Neurospora crassa OR74A: one gene and its partner. The protein of the gene in region 1 interacts with the protein of each later gene in a biochemical or structural test. Links are inferred from orthologs where the notes say so. Each region holds a gene or a part of one and is shown on either strand. Other genes may lie near its edges.

What was found.
Region 2: the proteins of crf6-1 (region 1) and NCU00133 form a complex in vitro, tested with the Saccharomyces cerevisiae proteins (2 studies listed by BioGRID). The link is inferred for Neurospora crassa OR74A from reciprocal best matches to the Saccharomyces cerevisiae genes CHD1 and POB3.

The regions. Positions count from the first base shown.
Region 1 is NC_026501.1:4,376,285-4,382,202, forward strand, and holds the end of crf6-1 (chromodomain helicase, variant), read right to left. Parts: coding exon 2,427-5,918; intron 2,371-2,426; coding exon 1,983-2,370; 3' UTR 1,315-1,982; downstream 1-1,314. UniProt on the Saccharomyces cerevisiae protein: ATP-dependent chromatin-remodeling factor which functions as substrate recognition component of the transcription regulatory histone acetylation (HAT) complexes SAGA and SLIK. It recognizes H3K4me.
Region 2 is NC_026503.1:2,735,456-2,741,198, reverse strand, and holds NCU00133 (FACT complex subunit pob-3), read right to left. Parts: upstream 3,626-5,743; 5' UTR 3,379-3,625; coding exon 3,368-3,378; intron 3,212-3,367; coding exon 2,989-3,211; intron 2,933-2,988; coding exon 2,439-2,932; intron 2,381-2,438; coding exon 2,009-2,380; intron 1,952-2,008; coding exon 1,354-1,951; 3' UTR 1,090-1,353; downstream 1-1,089. Other genes in the region: NCU00134 (exportin-T), read right to left, coding at 124-135; NCU00132 (hypothetical protein), read left to right, coding at 4,873-4,993, 5,093-5,673. UniProt on the Saccharomyces cerevisiae protein: Component of the FACT complex, a general chromatin factor that acts to reorganize nucleosomes. The FACT complex is involved in multiple processes that require DNA as a template such as mRNA elongation, DNA replication and DNA repair.

The DNA.
Region 1 (5,918 bases):
CAATAGCGATAGATAAGGTTATAAATAGTAGATAGTTGATTTTAGTTAGGTAATTAATTATAGATGGGTTCGGTTTCTCTTTGTTTTCTTCCTTTCTTCTAGGAGGTATACGTTAAGAGGATAGGCAAAATACCAAGTAAAATTATAATATATTATTATAAGTATATCTTTAATATTGTATAATAGTAGAAATATATATAAAGGAGAATTTTTTTTATAATGTAGTTTCGTTTATAATATAATTGTACGTTAATTATATTTCTACAAGTTAGTATCCAACTACTTTAGGGCGTATTTATTATTAATTAAAATCCAGTAAATTAATTTTAATTTATTATAGATTGTAAATATAGAATAAATTGAATAATATAGTATTATTAGGGGGCGAATATTTAGAAAGGGTATACCCAAATTATACCGCTAAAGAAAAAAGAACTATTTCCTTCCGCCGACCTTCGTTACTATTACTACTATACAATTATTAGATAGTACGATCCTGCCGGCTTACTATTAAGGATTTTACTATATAAGCTCTTAGTTGGGTAATAATTAGTATATACGGCTATAGATGGTAGAAAATTCAGGATCCCGTCCGCTCTCCTATAGATAAGCTACTAATCGCTTAATTAATAGTTAGGTCAGTAACGACCAGCGAATCCCAGGTGCTGTATGTTTTTTTTCTACTTTATGTATTATACCTTTATATCGTTCAAGTTCGTGTGCTTAGCCCTTTTTTTTTTTTCTCTCTTCCCCCCACCTCCCCCCCCCCCCCCCCCCCCTTCCTCCGCTTGGTTTTAGAGCTGAATTCGCTCAGCTCCTGTGATGGTGCGTTGAGTTGGTTGTTTACAAGGTTAGGGGTGAGTTGGGATGGGTGAACGTGAAATGGTCATGGAGAAGTCAACTGAACAAACAAACGCATAGCGGGGTGAAGATTCTTCAGACACGAATCATAAAAGAACATGGAACATGGCCTGGACGTTGCTTACATGCTGTGGGATCTGCTCCTAAACGTGCTCTGTCTACAATCGTGATCGCAAACGCATCGCCGGTAACCCGTCTTGTGCCCGTGTATGTCGTGGCCTCATACGTGCCACCATCGATACCGAGAATGCCAAACAACTCATTTGTTGTCACTAGTAACTGTCTGTCATTATCCCTTTCTCCGACCCTAAAACATGCACCCTCCATCGAATGATACGCAGGTGAGGATAGACAGGTAAAGAACAACAACACACACTCTCATATTATATCATCACCTACTATGATGAAGTTGAACGCACCAAAACACAAACAAACAGATGAGAAAGGTACAGATCGACGATGCAATTATGGATATCATTTCATTGTCTCTTCTCTCTTTCTTTCTAAGTTTAGGGCGTGTTCGGCGACTGAAGATAAGTGGGGGGAAAAACACAACAACGACGCACGGTCCCTTCTCTTTCCGCCATCTTCCCCTGTCCCAAGTAAGTGATCCTCAATTTTTTGCAGGAGGAATTCGGTATAGTTTTGTTATTTCCCTTTTTTGTACGCTCTCAGAACCAACCATCCATCCATTCCCCTCAGTTTTATTGCTGCTGAGATCACTTGAAAAAAGAAAAGAAAAAAAAGTAAGAAAAGCAAGACTGTTTGAGGCATGTTGATGAGTGCCTGACGAGTAGAACGCTTGCGTGCCTTTCTTTTACGTCGGCGCACGCGGTTTCCGCAAAACCATACACAACAACGAAAATAACCATCATCGGCGATAGGATAATGCTGAACCCTTCATAAAAGCGCGCGCCCTTTCTGTAACATAAATAATTCCTCATTACAGGTATCGCTCGTTCCAATGTAACACCACGCCCGCCCGTGTACTTGTCAACTCCCAGATGAGGATAGAGGAGCAGAAAATCAGAACAACAACCCCAGTCGAGATATCTAAACCCGTACGCCAGACAATGCAAGAGCTGAGTAACAATTATTGATGGGAGAAGAGGGTGGTTCCCCTAGTAAGGCCGTTGCTGCTGAGAGGGACTGCGGCTGCTCTGCCATGAGTGACGGATCGGTGCTCCCCTATCGATGTCCCGACGATGGCGATAAAAGTTGAGTCGATCGCCATTCTCGTAATAGTTCGGGCGCCGCTTGGGCTCCTCTCGTCGCTCTTCGCGCCGGTCCTCGCGCCGGTCGTCGCGGTAAGGGTCACGAGATCTTCGATCGTCGCGATCGCTGGCAATCTCGCCATCTTCGAGATCCTGGCGGCTCGGCTTCTTCAGATTCTGAGATCTGTCCTCCTTGTTCTCGCTATCCTTTTTGCAAAGGTCGCCGAACATGCGCTGGAGTCTTCGGCCCGACACCTTGACCTCACCGATGGGCCAGATCGAAGAAAGGAATTCCCTGTATCCATCGTTAGCCAGTGTGAAAGCACAATCTGAGGGAGTTTCTAGACTTACCAGAACTGTGGCTCCAAACCATCCAGCGGGTTCTTCTCCTCCAGCTGCTTAAGGAAATTACCAAATGCCCGAATCTCCTCTCCCAAAATTTTGGCGCGTTCTTTGGCCGCAGGAAAACGTTCCTTAGAGTACATGATGCGTTCCATGTTCGCTTTGAGGGGCCGAAGTAGAGACCAAACAAGTTGGAAGTTGTCCGAGCTATCGATCTCATCATTATTCAACTTGGCAAGTTCATGGAAGCGCTCCACCGCTTTCTGCCTGTCCCGCTTCCATTTCTCCAATGTTTCGGGATCGACCTTGGGTGCCTTGTCCTTCTTCTTGTCGAGTTTGCTATCTGTACCACGACGTTCGTCTTCCACCCGACGATGCTTCGAGCTGCGCTCTTCGTAATCATCGGTGTACTTCCGTTTGTGGTCAGGCCTGGGGGTCCCCCGGTCATTCGCGTTGCTGAGAGTCCGATGGTGGTGGTCCCGGTGAGGAATAGACTTTTTAACGCCCAATGGTGCAGGAGACCCGGAGATGGAGCTAGCTTCACCGCGTCGATGGCCGTTGTTCGTGAGAAGCTTCTTGCTCCGATGGTGGTTCTCCACTGCCTTCTTAGCGGCAGCATCATTAGAGTGCTTGGCCAACAGAACAGACAGGAGATACTCGGACCTTCGGACCAAATGAACAGCACCAGGGGATTGAATCCCTACAGCCTCCGTCTTCTTTCGTTCTTCCCGTTTGTCGACACGATGCTCCTCCAGGAAGAACTTGTCGTGCATCTGCAACTCAGGATCGTCCCTGATTTGCGTCCACGCACCAAATCCGTACCTGTCGATTCCAATAAGCAGCATGGCATCCTCGCGTGCACCCCAGTCGCAAGTATATGCGGCAGCCTTGGAAGCTTCGGGAAGCCTGAAACTGAGAATGTCTGCGTGCTCCCGGAGGACGCGACGCAGGAGTTTGAGCTGAGGGGGTCGCTCCACGACAGTCTCTGCGTTGACTTTCCGCACCTCGCCAAAATCGACAAGTACAGCCTTCTTATCCTTCTTCGCCAGTGGCTTGCCAGCCCTGGCTTCTTCTTCGCGAAGTCTCTCGTTGTTCGCATCTACAGCGCGGCGACTGATAACGACAAGGTCCTCGATAATAGACTTCAGAAAGTCCCGATCTCTATCACTAAGGCGGGCATCCTGGACAACCTCTTCTTCGCGGTCGTCCAAGGAACCGTACCTGAAGAAGGCCCTGATAAGGTTTCGGGTTTCTTTCTCATTGAGGGGGCGTTTGGGATCAGAAAGCAATGCACGTTGCTCTTCGAGCTCTTCCTGCTCTTCCCTCTCGCGTTGTCGCTTCTTTGCCAGACGCTCAGCTCGATCGTTCTCTGCGCTCTTTTTGGAGCCTTTCAACGCAGCTTTTCTAGGAGCATTCTCCTCTATCGTTTTTGCCAAGTACTCCTCTTCCTTCTTTCTATTTTCCTCAGCCTTGATGGCAGCAAGCTGCTCGGCTGGAATGATCTGATCCCAGTCAAGGGCGAGATCGTCAACTTTGACATCGGTGACCTGCATCCAGTTATCCCAGTCGATACCACCACTGCTCAGGTTGATCTTGTCATCGACATCAGTTTTGGTAACTTCGGCATTCTCGAGGATAGCATCGATATCGAGCTGCTCCAGCTTCTGCTGGTTGCTAGATTGTTCGAACAGGTTCTGGGAACGCATCTTGAGGATCATCGAGATATCCTCAGCGGTCTTAGCCTCGTCCATCTTGAGGCCGCGCTCCTTGAACTGCTCTTTGAGAGCCTTGCCTTCATCTGTCACACCGGCCTGAATGGTAAGATACTCCAAGAAGAGCTTGTTGCGGGCTCGCTTTACAACTTCCTCTTCAATAGTCTGCTTGGCCACGAGGCGGTAGACATTAACAGGTCTTTTCTGGCCGATACGGTGAGCTCGAGCCATTGCCTGAAGATCGGCCTGGGGATTCCAGTCCGAGTCATAGATGATGACAGTATCAGCCGTCATAAGATTGATTCCAAGGCCACCGGCGCGGGTAGACAAAAGGAAGCAGAAATCATCGCTGCCCTCGGCGTTAAAATGATTGATCGCCATACGTCTTGGGCCGGCAGGAATGGTACCGTCGAGTCGCTGGAATTGATATCCGCGAACACGGAGATAGTCACCCAAAATGTCTAGCATCTTGACCATCTGACTGAAGATCAGAACACGATGTCCGTCCTTCCTAAGTTTTGCCAGCAGCTGATCAAGAAGCATCATCTTGCCGCTACTTGTAATGAGACCCTTGATCTGGTCTTCACGGCGTGTGCTGCCGTTGAGGACACGCTCCTCGGCACCCTGGAACATGTACGGGTGGTTACTGACTTTCTTCAGCTCCATCATGATGTTGAGCAACGATTGCTTGTGGCCGTTGCTCGCGTCGCTGAGGGCAGCATAGTTGCGTGTGAGAATGTTCTTGTAGTAGTCAAGTTGCACGTCAGACAACTCAACTCGGATGATCTTTTCGGTTTTGGGGGGGAGGTCCGACTCGACCGTCTCCTTGGTGCGACGCAAAATGAAAGGAGCGATTGACTGATGCAACTCGCGGAGCTTCTCTTGGGTCCTGATACGCCTAGCCTCATCCTGTTCTTCATCAGTGGGACCTTTGTTATCTGCGGTAGACAACGCTTCAAGCTCCTCATCAATGACGACCTTTCCGGGGTTAAGGAAGTCGAGGAGGGCTGAGAGTTCGGCCAGATTGTTCTGAATGGGTGTGCCGGTAATGAGGACCTTGCAAGGAACGCCGAAGTTGTTGAGCTTGATGTAGAGCTGTGACTCTCGGTTCTTGAGACGGTGGGCCTCGTCAACAGCGAGAACTTGCCATTTGATGTTCTTGAGATGATCCGCATCGGCCAAGATGTAGTCATAGGAAGTGACTAAGACATTGAACTTGGTCTTCTTTGGGTTACCATCCACAAAAAGTTCGTAATCTCGAATGTTGGACCGAGCTGCCTCCGGGCCCAGGTAAACGACGTAATTGAGATCCGGAGCCCAATGATTAAATGTATCGCACCAAGCGGGGATGACGCTAAGAGGAGCGACGACAAGGAACGGTCCTTCCTGGCCGCGTTCATTCCGTAACCAGCTGAGGAACGAGACGCTTTGGACAGTCTTTCCCAGACCCATTTCATCGGCTAAGATGACGTTGTTGCCCCTTACCCAGTTGAGAGCAAGGAAGTTAAGGCCTTTCATTTGGAACTCGCGAAGCTCGCCGCCCTTGATATAGTCAGGCTGCTTCTCCAGTTTGGTCATCCTCGACCGGGTATCGGGGTTAGTTTGCTTGCGGTCAGACTGCCATGACCGGTTGCATCGGTCGAGGAACTGGTTAATCTTGTCCTGAGCAAGTTCGGCCACGAGAGACTCGGCTTCCCAGGTGCACTCGTCGTATTGCAGGCCCTTCCACTTGATGTAATACTCGGTGCCCTCATCACCGTCTCTGACAGCCACAACGCGCTCGACCTTT
Region 2 (5,743 bases), on another chromosome or scaffold:
GAAATGACGTGTGCCGAAGAGGTACATTGTGATCCCTCCATTCAGACGGATATATGGCGGGGTCGGCGGGTGCGAGTTTGCGGGGATGATATTTTTTTCACGCTGGGGGAAAAGCAGCCTTACCTGGGCGTCCATGGTATGGCTGTTTGGAGGAAGAGTTCGAGGGGGAGAAAAACGGGTTGAAAGGATTCGTGGTATGTTTTGTACGTCGGCGGTGGTTGTGTCTGGCTGCTGTTTGCTGGTTTAGTTGTTGGTCAAAGTGCTGTAAAATAACCCGGGGCAGCAATGGTCAAGAAAGAGTCGGCATTCTCAAAGATAGCAGGCGGAGCGCCAAAAAGACATGGTTTCCAAAGGCGGGAACCTTTTAGTTGGCTTCCATTACTGTAAATCTCCTTTGCGGTGCTAATCGGGTACTTTTGTTTTTCCCTGCTCCGGGACGTGAAGATCGAAACAGGCAGATGCTTCCTTTGGGCGCGGTATCAGGTCTCAAAAAATACCAGGACGAGTGAGAATAAATTTATCACGGTGCAGGTGTGGCTGTCCGATACAGCACCAAGGAGAGGCCGTGAGCTGATGATTGGCACCAATCAATGGCTTCTGGACTGGTCGACAGAAAACAAAGGGAGGAGGAGGAACGCGGAAATGGGTCATACCCACCGCCTTGGTGGGGCTTAACTTTGGAGCCGAATTAAAGCCCGCCCAGCTGAATGGAAGTCTGCCGAAGCGCACTCAGCAGGGACCGCTCCGCATCAACCGAAGTGCCCACCGGGCCACGCAGGGCACCACTATGTACACTAGAAGGAATGTGCATCCTAGTGTAGTGTAGACAGAGCGGGAACGCATAGAGGTAGGTACCTACCTACCAGGTAGGTAGATTTTTGACCGCTAGAGCGATACCCACCTCAACCGCCTGCACGCCCTGCAGGCTGATACATTCCATGCCGTACTTTTGGAGTACGGCCTCTATCCATCCTGCGGCCCTGAAGAAGAAGCGAAGTCTCAAAGGATGTGCCGATGTCTTATGTTCGTTGTAGTCGAAGGGGAAAAAAAAGAACCATAACGGATCAACTAGGTAGCTGACCATCTGCCTGCCGCTCTTCAGTGTTCATTAGCTCCATTGCGCGCCCAAGTTGAGGGAACATCGAGATACTAGTTTGACACTGCCGTTGGGAATGTCGTCTTTGACGCCCCAAGTATCGTATCGATATATGGTAGAGAAAATACAGAATTAACACATATTCGTGTCACGAAAGTACCGGAACGCCCCAAATACCCAGCTGCCTGCCTGCCTTCCAGCCTGTGATCTGCCTTTTTAATCAAACAAGTAACGACGCGCCAACATGAAAAATAAACCTAAGCCGTCTTCTTCTTCTTCTTGGGGCGCTTCTCTCCCTCGTCATCATCCATATCCTCATCCTCATCATCGACCCGATTGTCGACGTCGCTCTCCTCGCTGCCCGACCCATCACTCTCATGGTTGCTGTCGTATTCCTCCGCCACGTCGCTTTCGGACTCAGCCTGGAAGTCCTCATCCACGCTCTCCTCATCCTCGTCAGCGGAGCCACGATCAGCCTTGGGGCCGACGGCCTCTTCGTCCGAGCTAGCCATGTCGTCATCGCCCAAGGCGGCGGCAATAAGGTTGGTGTCATCATCAATTTCGTTCTTGACACGCAGTCCTTTGAGCTTGAAAAATTCCTCGAGAGCCTTCAAGTCTTCACGGTTAATGTTGCTGAATTGGGATGAGCCCGCGCCGTTTTTCATGTGGACTGTAATGTCGAACGTCGACAATGCCGAGACCGCACCGCCCACGCGTGAAAACGTGATGGACTGTGTCTGTTCGTATGAGATGTACGTGGCCGGCTTGGGGACAAACATAAACGCCTTCTCCAAGCAGTAGAGGAATCCTTCACTGGCTTTGATAGAGCACTTGATGCCGTACTGCTGACGGTGCCTGCGGGTTCCTAGGTCAGTACCGTTGCTGGCTATGAAATGAACAGATATAACTCACGTTGTAAAGTCCTTGGCTGGTGTAGTGACTTTCTTGTTCGCAAGTCCCTTGAAAATGTACGCCACAACCTGATGAAGTGGTTGCTCGTAGTGGCTCTGAAGCTTGTCCTTGTATTTTCCGTTGAGTTCCTCCTCGGTGATGTTCAGGTCAAGAGTCACCTCTTCGTCCGCCTTGAACTGCATCACCACAAATGGATAACGTGTTTGACCTTGACGAAGGGGCGGGTCGAGACCAATGCAAAGCAAGAAATGGAGATCGTCCGGCTTGGGAAGCACCATAAATTTCTTGATAGCATCGTATTGGATCTTGTAGTCGTATGTTTTGCCACGGAGACGGAAGGAGGCATCGTACATGTCGATGTCGAAACGTCCTCTATCGGGAGAGTTAGCACCGGAAAAGGATCAACAACCAGCGTGCAGTTTCCACGTACCTGGGCGTGAGATGTAGCACATCGAGGAATGTAGCGATAGTATCACCCGCCGTCTCACCAATCTCGGCCTTCTCAATAAGGGTGTCGTAGAACAGAGTCACGGCGTTCTTCTCTTCTTCATCGGCGTCGCTACCAGCCTCACCACCCTCGGCCTCCTTTCGTGTTGTCGTTCCAGGGATGTAGAAGCGCACCTCGACCAGCTGATCCTTGCCGGCCGACGCCTTCTTGCCCTTTCCGCCTGTTCCGCTGTGACCGTTCGACTTGCCGCCATCGTTGCCGGCGAACTCGACTGCGATTTCGTTCCTTCCGGCAAGATTTGTATTGGAAATCTCGGAGTAAGGAATCTCAAAGGCCGGTCGGTTTTGGACGTTGAAAGTGAGCTCGGCTTTGCTAAACTCAGCCTTGCCCCAGTTCCATCCTCTCAGAGAGTGTTCCTTGTTCTCGAGGTTCACGCTGTACCAGTTCTTGAAGATCTTGCTAAGGCGCTCGTAATCCTGTGGCAACACGTCAGCGTTCCTTCGCTTCGATGGCGCGTGGATAGGTTTCGTACTTCTTGGTGGAAACCATCGAGCTGAACTACGCCAGAGCTTCGCAATAGGATTTTAACCTCATAGCCCCTCGCCGCCCTGCTCCATTGAGCACCGCCGATGTTGCTCGAGTCGAGAGTGAACGCTTCGCCGCCACCCGCAGGTTTCCATCCCAAGCCATTTTCCGCGAATCTCGACTTTCCGCTCTCCTTGGACAGATCCAAGTAGATATTGTCAAAACTCTCGCTGTAAATGAAGGTATTAGAAATGGCACTGAGCTGTGATCTCCGCCGGTGAAAGCCGTGCCCTACGGCGTAGATGGAGCGGGGCACATCCGTCGTCGCAGGGTTAGACGAGCAAGAGCGCGCGAAAGCATGAAATCCAGAAAGGTATGCGACTTACATGGCAGCCATATTGCCCCTCTATCCAACTGGTTTAATGGTGAGTTGGGGTTGATGGACAAGTTGGAAATGGCGTCTGATGTTGTGGCAGTGATTGCAAAGTGTTGCAAGCAAATACTGATGAACAATCCAACTGAAGGTTCGCGTGCCTCGGAGAAAGTTGACCGTGTCGCGACTAGGCCAGTTCGTTAATTGAAGGTTAATTCGGCTGGCAGGTGGCATTCCGCTGGGCTAGGCGACGACCCATGCTGGTGGCAGGTGGCAAGTCGCAGTACTACTGTACGTGTAGGGTCTACGCAGTGGGCAACAGCTTGGTTGTAGCGCGTGGCAACTGTGAGCTTCTGATTTCTCTCCCAAGCCTGCAAGAACACCACCACTTTATTCAGTTGTCACCTTCCAAGGAAGCTTTGCCAACGACACACAGGCCTTCTTGTCGCTCTGAGAGTCATTCACTGTTTGTATCATCTTGAATGTCTAAAAGAAACTGCGTCCTCTTGTCCTCCAATCTGTCGCGATCTACAGTAACACAACACCTTCCATTCTCTTGTAGTTACGGATCAACAATTATGTTGGGTGGTTTTTTCACATTTGAATTCTTTGTATCTCGCTCCTTCTTGCTTGTATTCGTTCCGCTAGTGCTCGGCCCGTTGAACACGGGAGGGAAAGAGGACGTTCCAAGCGAGTCGCTTCGTTACGTGGGAAAAGTGTCCCCTCGCGACAAGCGTTCCTTGTTTGGTCAGAGCATTTTGAAGCTTTCAACTGGTTCCAAATATGCCACTTGGGTTGCCACTCTCAATCTACTAAACAAACTCAACATAGCTTCGGTTCATGGACATGGGCGCGATTCCCAATATCGTCAACCCCCCAAAAAGCATGTGGGGCTAGCGCGTGGAGCTTTAAGTGGTTGCATATGATATCTTCCGCGCCTGTTTCATGACATGGGATTGTATTAGAGGTACTTAGTCACCTTAAGTGGTAATGTTCTCTGCCTTGTACCACTTCTTGATCTCTTTCTTTTTCTTCCCTTGAACACAAACATAACTCTCAAGTTAGTTCGTTCTTGTTGTGCCCATTGGCTGTTTCACAAGGGCGGAAGACTCGCTCACCGAAGGTGACAATTCCCGTCGTAGACGTTCCTGCCTGCGGCCTTGACCTGGAGACCACGAGGGGCACTTATACGCCACCCCACGATTGACGTATTACATGCTTGAACTGGTGGCATCCCGCACACCCGCTCAAGCTGCCCCGCCTCGACTTCCTTCCGTCACTCGTCTGCCCTGATCGTCATATTTCGCTCGGTTTCTTTATTCAAACAGAACGAAGCTCTCCTTTGTTGCCTGGGCCGTTTGTTTGCCTGCTTCAATTGAACCTTAGCTGGAGCTATTAGTATACCGAACTTCCGACTTGCACACTTACTTGGCCCCCCAAGGATCCCAACGAAGCTTGAATCAATCTTTCCACCATCAATCACTCTTGTTGCCTTGTTGTTTCTACACCTTTTCAAAGATGAGCTTCGAGCGTCCCCTCCGTGGTGGCTGCCAATGCGGCCGCAATCGTTACATCATCCAGTTTCCGCAAACCACTACACAGGCGGCGCAAGTCATCTTCAACCCACCGCCTTCTCAATGTAGGAACCTGTCCAGCGATACTGACTCTCAGGAAATTCCGATCACTATCTCCATTTTGCTAGGAGTATAGATCATCTGACCAAATGTTGCCAATGCAGATATCTCCCATGCCTCACCATTGGCTGCTTTCCTGCGGGTACCTTTGCCATGGTACCATAGCTCGACGCTCTCGTTTTCTCCCGACGAAAGGACGTCGATGATCCATCGCGCCTACACTTCGCCCTTTGAACAGCATTCTATGCGCCACTTTTGCGGTTATTGCGGCACCCCCTTGTCTTACTGGTCCGAGGAACCTCGTAGCGAAGCTGATTTTATCCAGCTATCGTTGGGCAGCCTGCATCCAGAAGATCTAGCGGACCTGGAAGACTTGGGTATGTTGCCGGATTCCGAAAGCGAGAATGAACCTGAAACGAAGAAGCAAGAAGGAAAGGGAGAAGTAACGTATATCGGCCGACAGACTGTGGGAGGCCTACCCTGGCTGGACAGCTTGCTTGAGGGCAGCCGACTCGGTACTCTTCGCGCGGCCAAAGGTCGCAGCCAGAATACGAGTGGTACAGTTCAAGTCGAATGGGAAGTTATGGAATGGACCGAGGGTGAAAGCGGCTCCCCGAGCGGCTCCCCGAGAAACAGCAAGCGGAAGCTTGGTGACCGAGACGACGTAGCCCGGGCGTTACCATGAAGGACATTAGGCAATGAGCCTGCAGTGGGATTCCGTTTCCTGCCATGGTTCATCTAGACGCCCAAGCGCC